Linked DNA regions of Arabidopsis thaliana. The protein of the gene in region 1 purifies or fractionates together with the protein of each later gene. This does not show direct contact. Each region holds a gene or a part of one and is shown in the gene's direction. Other genes may lie near its edges.

What was found. Proteins that work in one complex are often made in the same cells at the same time.
Region 2: the proteins of EMB3127 (region 1) and PKT3 fractionate together in Arabidopsis thaliana (co-fractionation; one large-scale study listed by BioGRID). This does not show direct contact.

What each region holds. Positions count from the first base shown.
Region 1 is NC_003075.7:258,447-263,112, reverse strand, and holds EMB3127 (Amino acid dehydrogenase family protein), read left to right. Parts: upstream 1-1,823; 5' UTR 1,824-2,324; coding exon 2,325-2,505; intron 2,506-2,657; coding exon 2,658-2,983; intron 2,984-3,060; coding exon 3,061-3,297; intron 3,298-3,399; coding exon 3,400-3,567; intron 3,568-3,677; coding exon 3,678-3,848; 3' UTR 3,849-4,126; downstream 4,127-4,666. Other genes in the region: KEA2 (K+ efflux antiporter 2), read left to right, coding at 1-121, 284-337, 473-531, 622-688, 775-951, 1,045-1,101, 1,185-1,259, 1,333-1,458. UniProt on the Arabidopsis thaliana protein: Catalyzes the oxidation of 5,10-methylenetetrahydrofolate to 5,10-methenyltetrahydrofolate and then the hydrolysis of 5,10-methenyltetrahydrofolate to 10-formyltetrahydrofolate.
Region 2 is NC_003071.7:14,046,972-14,053,349, reverse strand, and holds PKT3 (peroxisomal 3-ketoacyl-CoA thiolase 3), read left to right. Parts: upstream 1-1,949; 5' UTR 1,950-2,366; coding exon 2,367-2,456; intron 2,457-2,868; coding exon 2,869-2,945; intron 2,946-3,053; coding exon 3,054-3,138; intron 3,139-3,220; coding exon 3,221-3,347; intron 3,348-3,436; coding exon 3,437-3,535; intron 3,536-3,608; coding exon 3,609-3,676; intron 3,677-3,756; coding exon 3,757-3,864; intron 3,865-3,953; coding exon 3,954-4,031; intron 4,032-4,148; coding exon 4,149-4,281; intron 4,282-4,375; coding exon 4,376-4,472; intron 4,473-4,639; coding exon 4,640-4,763; intron 4,764-4,855; coding exon 4,856-4,964; intron 4,965-5,251; coding exon 5,252-5,335; intron 5,336-5,426; coding exon 5,427-5,536; 3' UTR 5,537-5,872; downstream 5,873-6,378. UniProt on the Arabidopsis thaliana protein: Involved in long chain fatty-acid beta-oxidation prior to gluconeogenesis during germination and subsequent seedling growth. Confers sensitivity to 2,4-dichlorophenoxybutiric acid (2,4-DB).

The sequences.
Region 1 (4,666 bases):
ACTGTTTCTCGTCGTGGGAATATCAATGGCTCTTACTCCTTGGTTAGCTGCTGGCGGCCAATTAATTGCGTCTCGATTTGAGTTACAAGATGTTCGAAGTTTATTACCAGTTGAAAGCGAGGTACTCCTTCACAACACTTTAAAATAAGTCATTTATCACCATTCCTAGTTTCAATTGTAAATTTAAAACAATAAAGCCATGATTGACCTCAATATCCTTCCGAAGCTCATGCATTCTTGGGGTAAAAATGACTGATCCTTTACTTTCTGAATTTACTTGCAGACGGATGATTTACAGGGTCACATCATTATTTGCGGATTTGGACGAATTGGGCAGGTTGGTATCGTTATCTATAAACTTTGTTGCGAAAACAAACTCCTCTAGAAGTTTAGATAGTTTGATTTAGAGAATAGTTTGGTGATATATGATTAAATTCGTCTTTGACCGCTGCTTTCTAAATGTTAAACGCAGATAATCGCTCAGCTTCTTTCTGAAAGACTTATCCCATTTGTTGCCCTCGATGTCAGCAGGTAATGTAACATGCTTGCCTTGTCTTGCTCAATGTATCTAACCAGCTCTTTATTTGTCTCATTTCGCACCAAAAATCTCTTATTTTACAGTGATAGAGTAGCAATTGGTCGTTCCCTAGATCTTCCAGTTTATTTTGGAGACGCTGGTAGTAGAGAGGTAAGAGTAGAAAGCTGATGAAACAAGTCAAAAGTATAACCACACATCATCCAAAATTATTGACGTTGTTTTACCTATACGTGCAGGTACTCCACAAAATCGGGGCAGATAGAGCATGTGCTGCGGCTATTGCTTTAGACACACCTGGAGCAAATTACAGGTGTGTCTGGGCTCTTAGCAAATATTTCCCCAATGTCAAAACCTTTGTCCGTGCACATGACGTTGATCATGGTCTCAATCTTGAAAAAGCCGGCGCTACCGCTGTAATAACTTCCACAACTTTTCTATTCTCCTTCTGTCATTGCACAACATTTTCAAAGTAAACTGATTAAAATCTCGATACAAAAACTCGTTAGGTTGTTCCTGAGACGCTGGAACCAAGTCTTCAGTTAGCAGCTGCTGTTCTTGCACAGGTACAAGAGATAATTCTTGTAGTCATTAAGTCACCAACAATGTTATTTGGGGTATTTGTTAAACTTGTCGGCTTCTTTTTCAGGCCAAATTACCTACATCAGAAATAGCAACAACGATCAACGAGTTCAGATCTCGTCACTTGTCTGAACTAGCTGAGGTATATATTTGGTCTATTTAAAAAACTACAATTCTTCTTACTCTCCGGTTTAATGGATCCTATGATGGTACAGCTATGTGAGGCAAGTGGAAGCTCTCTAGGTTACGGGTTCTCAAGAAGTACGAGCAAACCAAAACCACCATCACCATCTGAAACATCTGACGATAACCAGATTATTGAAGGCACACTCGCTATCTAACCTTTTTTCTCGCTTCTGGTAAGACCACACAATTTCAACTTCTTTTGCTTAAAACTGTACAGAAACCAAAATCCTTATTTTGAAGAATCTTAGCGGAGAAAAAGTAACAAACTCTCAAAATTTTGATGGGATGATGATGTGTTGAAATTTCTCTAGTTTCTTTCCTCTGGGGGAAAAACAAAGGCAAATAATATTTGTATTCAACATATTGGGTCTAATATGTGAATCTATCCCTCATTTATCCGACACTATTTGTCTGTACTTTCTACCTTTGCTTCACCCTTCAACAATCTTGGCAATCGCAATAACATGACTTGCTCTGATACCACTTGTAGTACATTTAGCTTTGATTGTTGGAGCTCTCGAGTTAAATCACAAGGGTATATATATCTAGTGTGGTACTTTAGACCGCAAATAGAGAATAGACCGTAAGTCAACGAACTTACATGTATTGTTTATATATTGATCAGTGTTAATTACATGATTAATCTGAGTTTAAGACGACTAATCAAATTAAAAAGCTACTAAAAATATGAAGCGGTCCGATTGGATTTATTAAAAAAGAAAAGAAAACGAAAGACTGGTATAATAAAACCGGAAAATTCAGGTGAAATCAACAAACCGGTTTCTTTTGTGATTTGAATGAACTTAAACCCTTGTTGATATCAAAAGAAGAAACCCTAGTCTCTCCGACTCTCCGTAGACGACGAAGTTATCTTCTTCAATTCATCGTCTCTTCTCTGCTCTGCTTTGCTCTAGATCACAAATTAAAAGACTTCATTAGTCTTCCTGTCTCCACCATTACCTTCTTCCTTTTTAACTCAGCCACGACGAGCAGACTATTGTTCTGTTTTCCTTGTATAAAAATGGCGTCGATGATGTTTACCGATTGCTCCTCCACCACGACGTCGCGTCTCATCCATTTGAACCGAAGCAGCGGTACTTTCCTCCTCCGTCAATGCGTCGGCCAACTCCGTTTACAGACCACTGCTTCTGGCCGTGGCTGCTGCATTCGCTCCTCTTCTTCTCCCATTTCTTCCATTTCCGGTAATGATTAAACCTTTTGACTTAATTGAGCACCAAATTTGAACTTGACATCGATTGAAATTTGTAGACAATTAGACTGTTCTTCCCTGGAAAATTGAGTTTCTTTATTCTCATGTTGGAATCATAAATTTTTTTTTTTTTTTTTGGTACAGCTGATACAAAATCAGAGGGTGGCGCAATTGTAATAGATGGAAAGGCTGTGGCAAAAAAGATTAGAGATGAAATCACAATTGAAGTTTCAAGAATGAAGGAATCAATTGGTGTGATTCCTGGTTTAGCAGTAATCCTTGTTGGTGACAGAAAAGATTCTGCAACTTATGTGAGGAACAAGAAGAAAGCTTGTGACTCCGTTGGAATCAAATCGTTCGAAGTTCGTCTAGCTGAAGATTCATCAGAAGAAGAGGTGTTGAAATCTGTATCAGGATTCAATGATGATCCTTCTGTCCATGGAATCCTTGTTCAGTTGCCTCTGCCATCGGTAAACAAAGTCTAATAACTTTCTTCGGAACTTAAATAAACAGTGAATTACAATAGTGTTTTGGGATGTTGTTGCAGCATATGGATGAACAGAACATACTGAATGCGGTTAGTATAGAGAAAGATGTTGACGGATTTCATCCGCTAAATATTGGACGGCTTGCCATGCGTGGAAGAGAACCCTTATTCGTTCCTTGTACTCCAAAAGGATGCATTGAGTTGTTGCATAGATACAACATTGAAATCAAAGGAAAGAGAGCGGTTGTTATCGGAAGGAGTAACATTGTCGGTATGCCAGCTGCTCTTTTACTGCAGGTAATGATGATGATACCTTCTTTAAGATGCCGTTTTTTCTGGTTGTGACATTCGAAAGTTAGTTACATGTTTGGTCTTTATTGTTGTGTTTTGTATTTGTAGAGGGAGGATGCAACCGTTAGCATTATCCATTCAAGAACCAAGAACCCTGAAGAAATCACAAGAGAAGCTGATATTATAATCTCAGCTGTTGGACAGCCAAACATGGTCAGAGGAAGCTGGATAAAACCGGGCGCAGTCCTCATCGATGTTGGGATTAATCCTGTTGAGGTGAGTGGAATTTTCTTTTTGACATATGGTCATGGCGTAATTCAGTGATATAATAAGTTTCAAATCAACCAGTATGCAACATTCATACATGTACATAATATGAATTGCAGGATCCAAGTGCTGCGCGTGGATATCGATTGGTTGGAGACATTTGCTACGAGGAGGCTAGCAAAGTTGCATCAGCCATCACACCTGTTCCTGGCGGTGTAGGACCAATGACCATAGCCATGCTTCTATCCAACACTTTAACATCAGCTAAGAGGATTCACAACTTCCAGTGACGTCACTTAAAAAGAAGATTGCTGGCCTTTTGGGAAACAAACAAATCGTACTCTGTTTTTTGAAGCCAATGATTTACTTTGGTCTTTAAAGAAAGTTATCGTTTTGTTCTATGAAACAAAACATGTAGTTTTTAAGTCACATAAATTGTCTTCAACATTGTTTGTCTCTTCTTGGTATTTTGAGTCAGAACTAGTTTTAACTTATCCCAGCTATGATATATCCCAGCCTCACCCATCGGTCTCTTCGTCATTATACTTTATTTATAACTACCTTTCAACGAAGGTTAATTTGAAACAAGAAAACACAGTCACTTGTTCTACATTACTTTTGTTAAACCCTAACTTGAGCTCGAAGCCACGACCACTGTTCTGTTTTCCTAGTAAAATAATGGCGTCGTTGATGTTAACCGATTGCTCCTTCTCCACGACCTCGCGTCTCATCGATTTGAACCGCCTCAACGGTGCTTTCCTGCCCCGCTGGTGCGTCAGCCAACTCAAGCTTTCCCACCACTGCGCCCGGACGTGGCCGCATGCGCTCCTCTTATACCACTGTGCCCGGACGTGGCCACATTCTCTCCATTCGCTCCTCTTGTATAGACTAAACCTTTTCATCCAATTGCTTACGTATTTTCAGATATCCAACTCTTAAGATTTTACTTTTCTGTTCAGCTGATGAGGCGATGGTATTTGATCAAACGGCTGTGGAACTAAGTATCATGCAGGAGATCAGAGTCGAAACTTCAAGAATGGAGAAACTAATCAGTCCTGGTTTAGCAGTAATCCTTTTTGGGGACAGAGAGTTCTCTGAAGAATATAAA
Region 2 (6,378 bases), on another chromosome or scaffold:
AGGCTTCTTATTTATAGAGTTACAAGATAAGAATATATGTATTTATTTAACAAATATGGGAAACGCAATCTTTACTATCACCCATATGGAAAATACTTAGGAATAATATTATGAAAGGATCCTTTTAAGATGGAATAAGATGATTTTATGTACATATATACTACTAATAAATTATGAAATAAATGTAGGATTCATTCTTTTTCTACTTCTTTTTGCATATCCGCTTGAATCTATATAAATCTGTATAAGTTGGAATGTTTTGACTGTATATTGTGTCACATTACATTATACATTACAGTTCCACGTGGTATTTTTTATGATTTATTAAATTTGTATGTGTTAAATAAATTTATACTTCATTCATATAGATAAGAAATGTATACTTTACAGTTTACATGTGTATTTGTTATTAAAAAAAGATAATATAAAAGAATAAGATATGGGAATGTTTACCCTAAAATCATATATAAGAGATTCAATTATCTTTTTATCTCATTTAATTTTGAGTCAGGAAAAAATATATATACAGAGAAGAAACAAAATTATTAAAAATGTAAAATTTATTGGTTAACATTTTGTCTTTACAAAAAACATAGATATGTTAATATAACGAATATAGTAAATGATAGAATAAAGATATTTAGTATGGTTAAGTAAGAAAATTAACATTTTCAATAATTTCGTCTCTTCTTTGCATAGGATTTGTTTGCCAACTCAAAGTATATTAGATAAAAAGATAAGATTGAAAACTAAAGTTGATAAGATATTATATTGTTTCACAAAAATTAGACATTGGATAGATGTTTAAGATTAAATAATCTTGTTAGAAATAAAACTGAAGTCTATGATGTTGCATGTAAGAGCTAATACAGTAAAATAAAATTATAAATTAATAACATGGGGAATAAAATATTTTATTGATTTATATAAGTGTTAATTTTTAGATGTAGTAAAAATATTGAAAATGACTTTTTCACAAAAATTAAAACAAATTCAAAGAAAAACAAATAACATTTTTATCCAATTACGTTATATATTATATTCGTCCAACTTTGAACCGGAAAAGTTTATTAATTTACAATGATTATTAAATTGACAAGTATTAATATATAGATGTTTCACTCTAATAGGTTAAATGGACAACTATATGCGAAAATATTAGGGCGATATTACAATAATCACAATGTAAAGATAGACAAGCACAATGTAAAGCTGATCACGTACAGTTTTGTTTCTTCCTCTTCAATGTTAATCTCTCCATTCAGTTAGAGTTAATTTCTAGTCTGATACATAACAAAACTACAAAGTTTCTCGAGTTTTTTTGTTATTTGATAACTCTCTACACGATCTAATTTCAATATTACATGTCGGAAAACTTCCGGAAAGTACCACACAAATGTTTGTAAGATTGAGTAAAATTGAGTAAAGAGAGCTTTAATCTCCCATATTTGCAAGTCGATATAAATTTGGTATCACGGCGTGTAAGAGATCTTGACATGCTAACCTTACGCAGATGTGCATTGTTGCAGTGCCATATTGTCATTATTGGTAATATATATGCCTAAGTAAAGTTCATATTGATAAAAATTTTATTCAAACACTATTGCATCTGCTTGTCAATCGCATAATAACATTATTAATTGAAAATGTAGTTTTCACTATTATACAATATCCGTTCTTATTTCGTTTAAACCGGCCGAGCCCATAGTATTGCAAACTATCACACCATATGGGCTTTAACTTTACGTTGGTAAAACGTAAAAAGAAAATAGCGATCAAGTCTCAAGAAGGGTACTTTTAGAATTAATAGCAACTTTAAGGCGTAAATAGAAGTAATACAAATAGTTGGGGTTATTATGTAAATATGAAGAAGATTAAGATCCAGAAGATGGAAATGAAAAACACGGCACGCATTTCAAAGCCCAAAACGGGCGGGGGCAAACGTCACGCCTAATCTTATCTTCTTCTATCACACTCTCAGCTTATCTATGACTATGACTCTCATCATCAATTATTTCACACTATTAACAATCACCAAACCAGTGTGAACATTTTAATTCATAATTAGAGTAAGGTCATTAGGCTAAAAACTGTTTGATTTGGATTTTACAACTATAGGATAAGAACTTGTATCGCTGTCACAGATGATATTTTTTGGTCGTTTAAGCAAAGAAATATTACGAAAAAGAGATATTTTTTATTCTTACTTATTTTGGGATTATCATTTACCCGGAACGGGCAAAGCGGTGAGTCATCTTACCTTATAAATGATCACAAACCCGAGGACTGTGAGTTTTCGTGTAGAACAAATCCTTCTCTGAGAAAAAACAACAGATCCGAATTTTATCTTTAATCAGCCGGAAAAAATGGAGAAAGCGATCGAGAGACAACGCGTTCTTCTTGAGCATCTCCGACCTTCTTCTTCTTCTTCGCACAATTACGAGGCTTCTCTATCTGTAAGCATTCTATCACCACACACTCTCTCTCTCTCGATCTATCGCGATCTTTTGGTTGTCTTCTCTTGTGTTTGCAGTCTGGGGATTATGGATCGTTGTTGATCTGGATTCATTATATGGAATTTTCGATTTTGATTTTGATGCTGAATTATAATTTGATTCGAGGCGTGCCTGTGAGCTGAAAATTTTAAGTTTCAGCTCGATTGAGATCAAATTCAAGACTTGGATTTTGTTTTTGTATTTCGTTCACTGGATTGAGATAGATATCTTTTTTTTTTTTGTTGTTGTTTGATTTTTGTTCGATTGGGTTGAATTATCCGTGCTCTGCATGTACTGATGATTTCTTAAAAGTCAAAGCTTGATTTCAATTACTACGTGTGATCTCTTTAACGTGTTCTTTCCAAATTCCCAGGCTTCTGCTTGCTTGGCTGGGGACAGTGCTGCATATCAGAGGACCTCTCTCTATGGAGATGATGTTGTCATTGTCGCGTAAGTCCCATCTCTTATGCTTTTACTCTTTTGGTATTTGGTTTTTCAGCAACGTATGAAGATTTCTCGTCTCTTTCTGATAGACTTACACTTATTGATCCATTGCAGGGCACATAGGACTCCACTATGCAAGTCCAAACGTGGCAATTTCAAGGATACATATCCCGATGATTTGCTCGCACCTGTTTTGAGGGTCTGTCGCTATCTTTTCTATTCTGTTGTTGGTTTTTATTTCCTTTCTACGTCTATTTATAGATAGTTCTTCCTTGACATAGGCATTGATAGAGAAGACGAATCTAAACCCAAGTGAAGTAGGTGACATTGTTGTGGGTACTGTTTTGGCACCTGGATCTCAGAGAGCCAGTGAATGCAGGATGGCTGCGTTCTATGCTGGTTTCCCTGGTATGTTTCTTCTATGTACAGTACAATACAATGGTGAAAAGTCTTTGTTTTTATTTCCTGTATGCTCATCCTGTTATGTTCATTTGCAGAAACCGTGGCTGTCAGAACTGTGAATAGACAGTGCTCATCTGGGCTTCAGGCTGTTGCTGATGTAGCCGCTGCCATTAAAGCGGGATTTTATGACATTGGTTAGTGAATAACCGTCTTTAACTACGCCACATTTTTTCATAGAGAACCGAGCTGACGATATGATGGATGCAGGTATCGGGGCTGGTTTGGAGTCCATGACTACCAATCCAATGGCATGGGAAGGGTCAGTCAACCCAGCGGTACTGATTCTCTCTTATCTGGAGTCTTACTTGGCTCTGTTATTTTAATACGTACTATAATACGGACTATGTTATTTCAGGTGAAGAAGTTTGCACAAGCGCAGAATTGTCTTCTTCCTATGGGTGTTACGTCAGAAAATGTAGCACAACGCTTTGGTGTCTCAAGGCAGGAGCAAGATCAAGCTGCTGTAAGGGAACTGAACTTTTTCAGTATGGTTGTATTTTAAATAACCTATAACTTTGATCGCTATGCTAAGCTATGGAGTCATATTGCTAGGTTGACTCGCACAGAAAGGCAGCTGCTGCTACTGCTGCTGGTAAATTCAAGGATGAGATCATTCCTGTTAAGACCAAGGTATTTTTCAGATCCTTCATACAATAACTGTAACATTTAAGACTTCTCTTGGTGGATTAGTTACTGAACTTCATTCATGTTCTAGTATTAGTCAATAACGTGTGTTTTAAATTTCAGCTTGTTGACCCGAAGACTGGTGATGAGAAACCCATTACAGTTTCTGTTGATGATGGTATCCGACCAACCACAACTCTTGCTTCTCTTGGGAAGCTGAAGCCAGTGTTTAAGAAGGATGGCACCACTACTGCTGGTACTTTTCCCGAATCAATTGTTTCATTATGGAAACCACAGTTCTTATTATCACAATTTTAAATCCATTGCTTCATTTGTTCTGTCGCAAACAGGAAATTCCAGCCAAGTAAGTGATGGTGCAGGAGCGGTTCTCCTAATGAAGAGAAGTGTTGCAATGCAAAAAGGACTTCCCGTTCTTGGTGTATTCAGGTGGGTAATAATTACTTACAAAGCTACGACTGTGGAAGTCTGAAAACCGAAAAAACTGCAGAGGCTTGTGATTTCCATTTACACAGATATGCTAGTATACGTGGAAAATACATTGTTCTTTCTGTATTTGGCTTTTTCTAAGTAGCACACTATTGGACATATTGCAGGACATTTGCTGCAGTTGGTGTTGACCCTGCAATCATGGGTATCGGTCCAGCAGTTGCCATTCCTGCTGCAGTTAAGGCGGCTGGTTTAGAACTTGATGACATCGACTTGTTTGAGATCAATGAGGTATATAGCAAACAATTTCATGATCTTCTTATCACATATCTCTTCCCGCACATTCTGATGATGACCATCTGTTTGAATCCTTGTGTGTTCAGGCATTTGCATCTCAGTTTGTTTATTGCCGTAACAAATTGGGACTTGACCCAGAGAAAATCAATGTCAACGGAGGTGCAATGGCCATAGGCCATCCTTTGGGCGCTACAGGTATATCTGTTAAGAACAGGACTAAAACTGTTAAGCTTGTTCCAATTTACCAAACCATAGAGACTTGAATTAATGAGAATCTCTCAACTCTCAACCAAACCTTAAGAAATCCACAGCCGAGATATATCTTTATAAACTCTGTCCTCACTAATGGTTCTTTAACCAACTTACAAGAGCTCTATCTTGCCGCAGTCCGTCCTTTTCAAAGCATATCAATGTCTACATTGTGTCTATATAATTATAAAACGCTCATGAACAGTTGCTAATACTTGTTAAAACTCTCACAGGAGCGCGTTGTGTTGCTACATTGTTGCACGAGATGAAACGCCGTGGTAAAGACTGCCGTTTTGGAGTAGTGTCAATGTGCATTGGTATGCTTCTCACTCGAATAATTCATTGTGAATTTGGTGTCTGAAATATGTGTCTGAGGGATGGTTTTACTGATTTGGTAAACTCTGGCAGGGACGGGGATGGGTGCAGCAGCTGTGTTTGAGAGAGGAGATGGAGTTGATGAGCTTCGCAACGCAAGGAAAGTTGAAGCGCAAGGTCTTTTGTCCAAGGACGCTCGCTAGAGAGGACCATGCACCAAAACCGTTTTTCACCTCACCTCTCTCTTTTCTGGTCTTCTTGTCACTTTCTTCAGATATTATTATAGTTTCGAATAAAGCACACAACCAATGTTTGCCTGAGTCTTGTGTTGTTCTTGACCAGGTCATGTGTTTAGTATTTTTTTTAAGTGAAGGGGGATAATCTTTAAATCTTTTATATGTAAGAATATTGTTCTTCTCGAATTTCATCAGTTGTTGCTTCTAGAAATTTTAGATTTTTTGGGTGGCAGCCATTTCTATATTTCGATGGATAAGTCAAACGTTCATAAAGTCAAGGGTTCTGCCTTTTGTTTGTGTTTCATGATTTTACCTTGAATTTCATTAACTAAAACAGTGTTAATAGTAACAGTTGGGGTGGTGGCGCAGTTGGCTAGCGCGTAGGTCTCATAGCTACTGAGTGATCCTGAGGTCGAGAGTTCGAGCCTCTCTCACCCCATAATTTTATTTTCTCATAGCTATTTATATAACGTTCCTTCTAGTATTTTTTTTTCTTTTCGTTATAGTATCTTGTCTTTGATACCGGAGACGTTATAACGGCAGTATAAGACGTTATAATCATGTTCCAATGCATCCCCTCAGTTTTGTGTTAAAAACGAGCCATCAATGTTATCATATATGGAAATCATTATTGAGGCTTTGACCAATTAATTATGCGAATTGACCGACTTTGATCACTATACAGAGCAAAACAAATCCACTGAATCATTTATTTGTGTAGGTTCATCTTTTTTGGGCACCGTATTCATTTCTTATTCCATGAATTTGACGGAGTAATTTTGATTTTCTTTTTCGAGTAAGAATCTGGT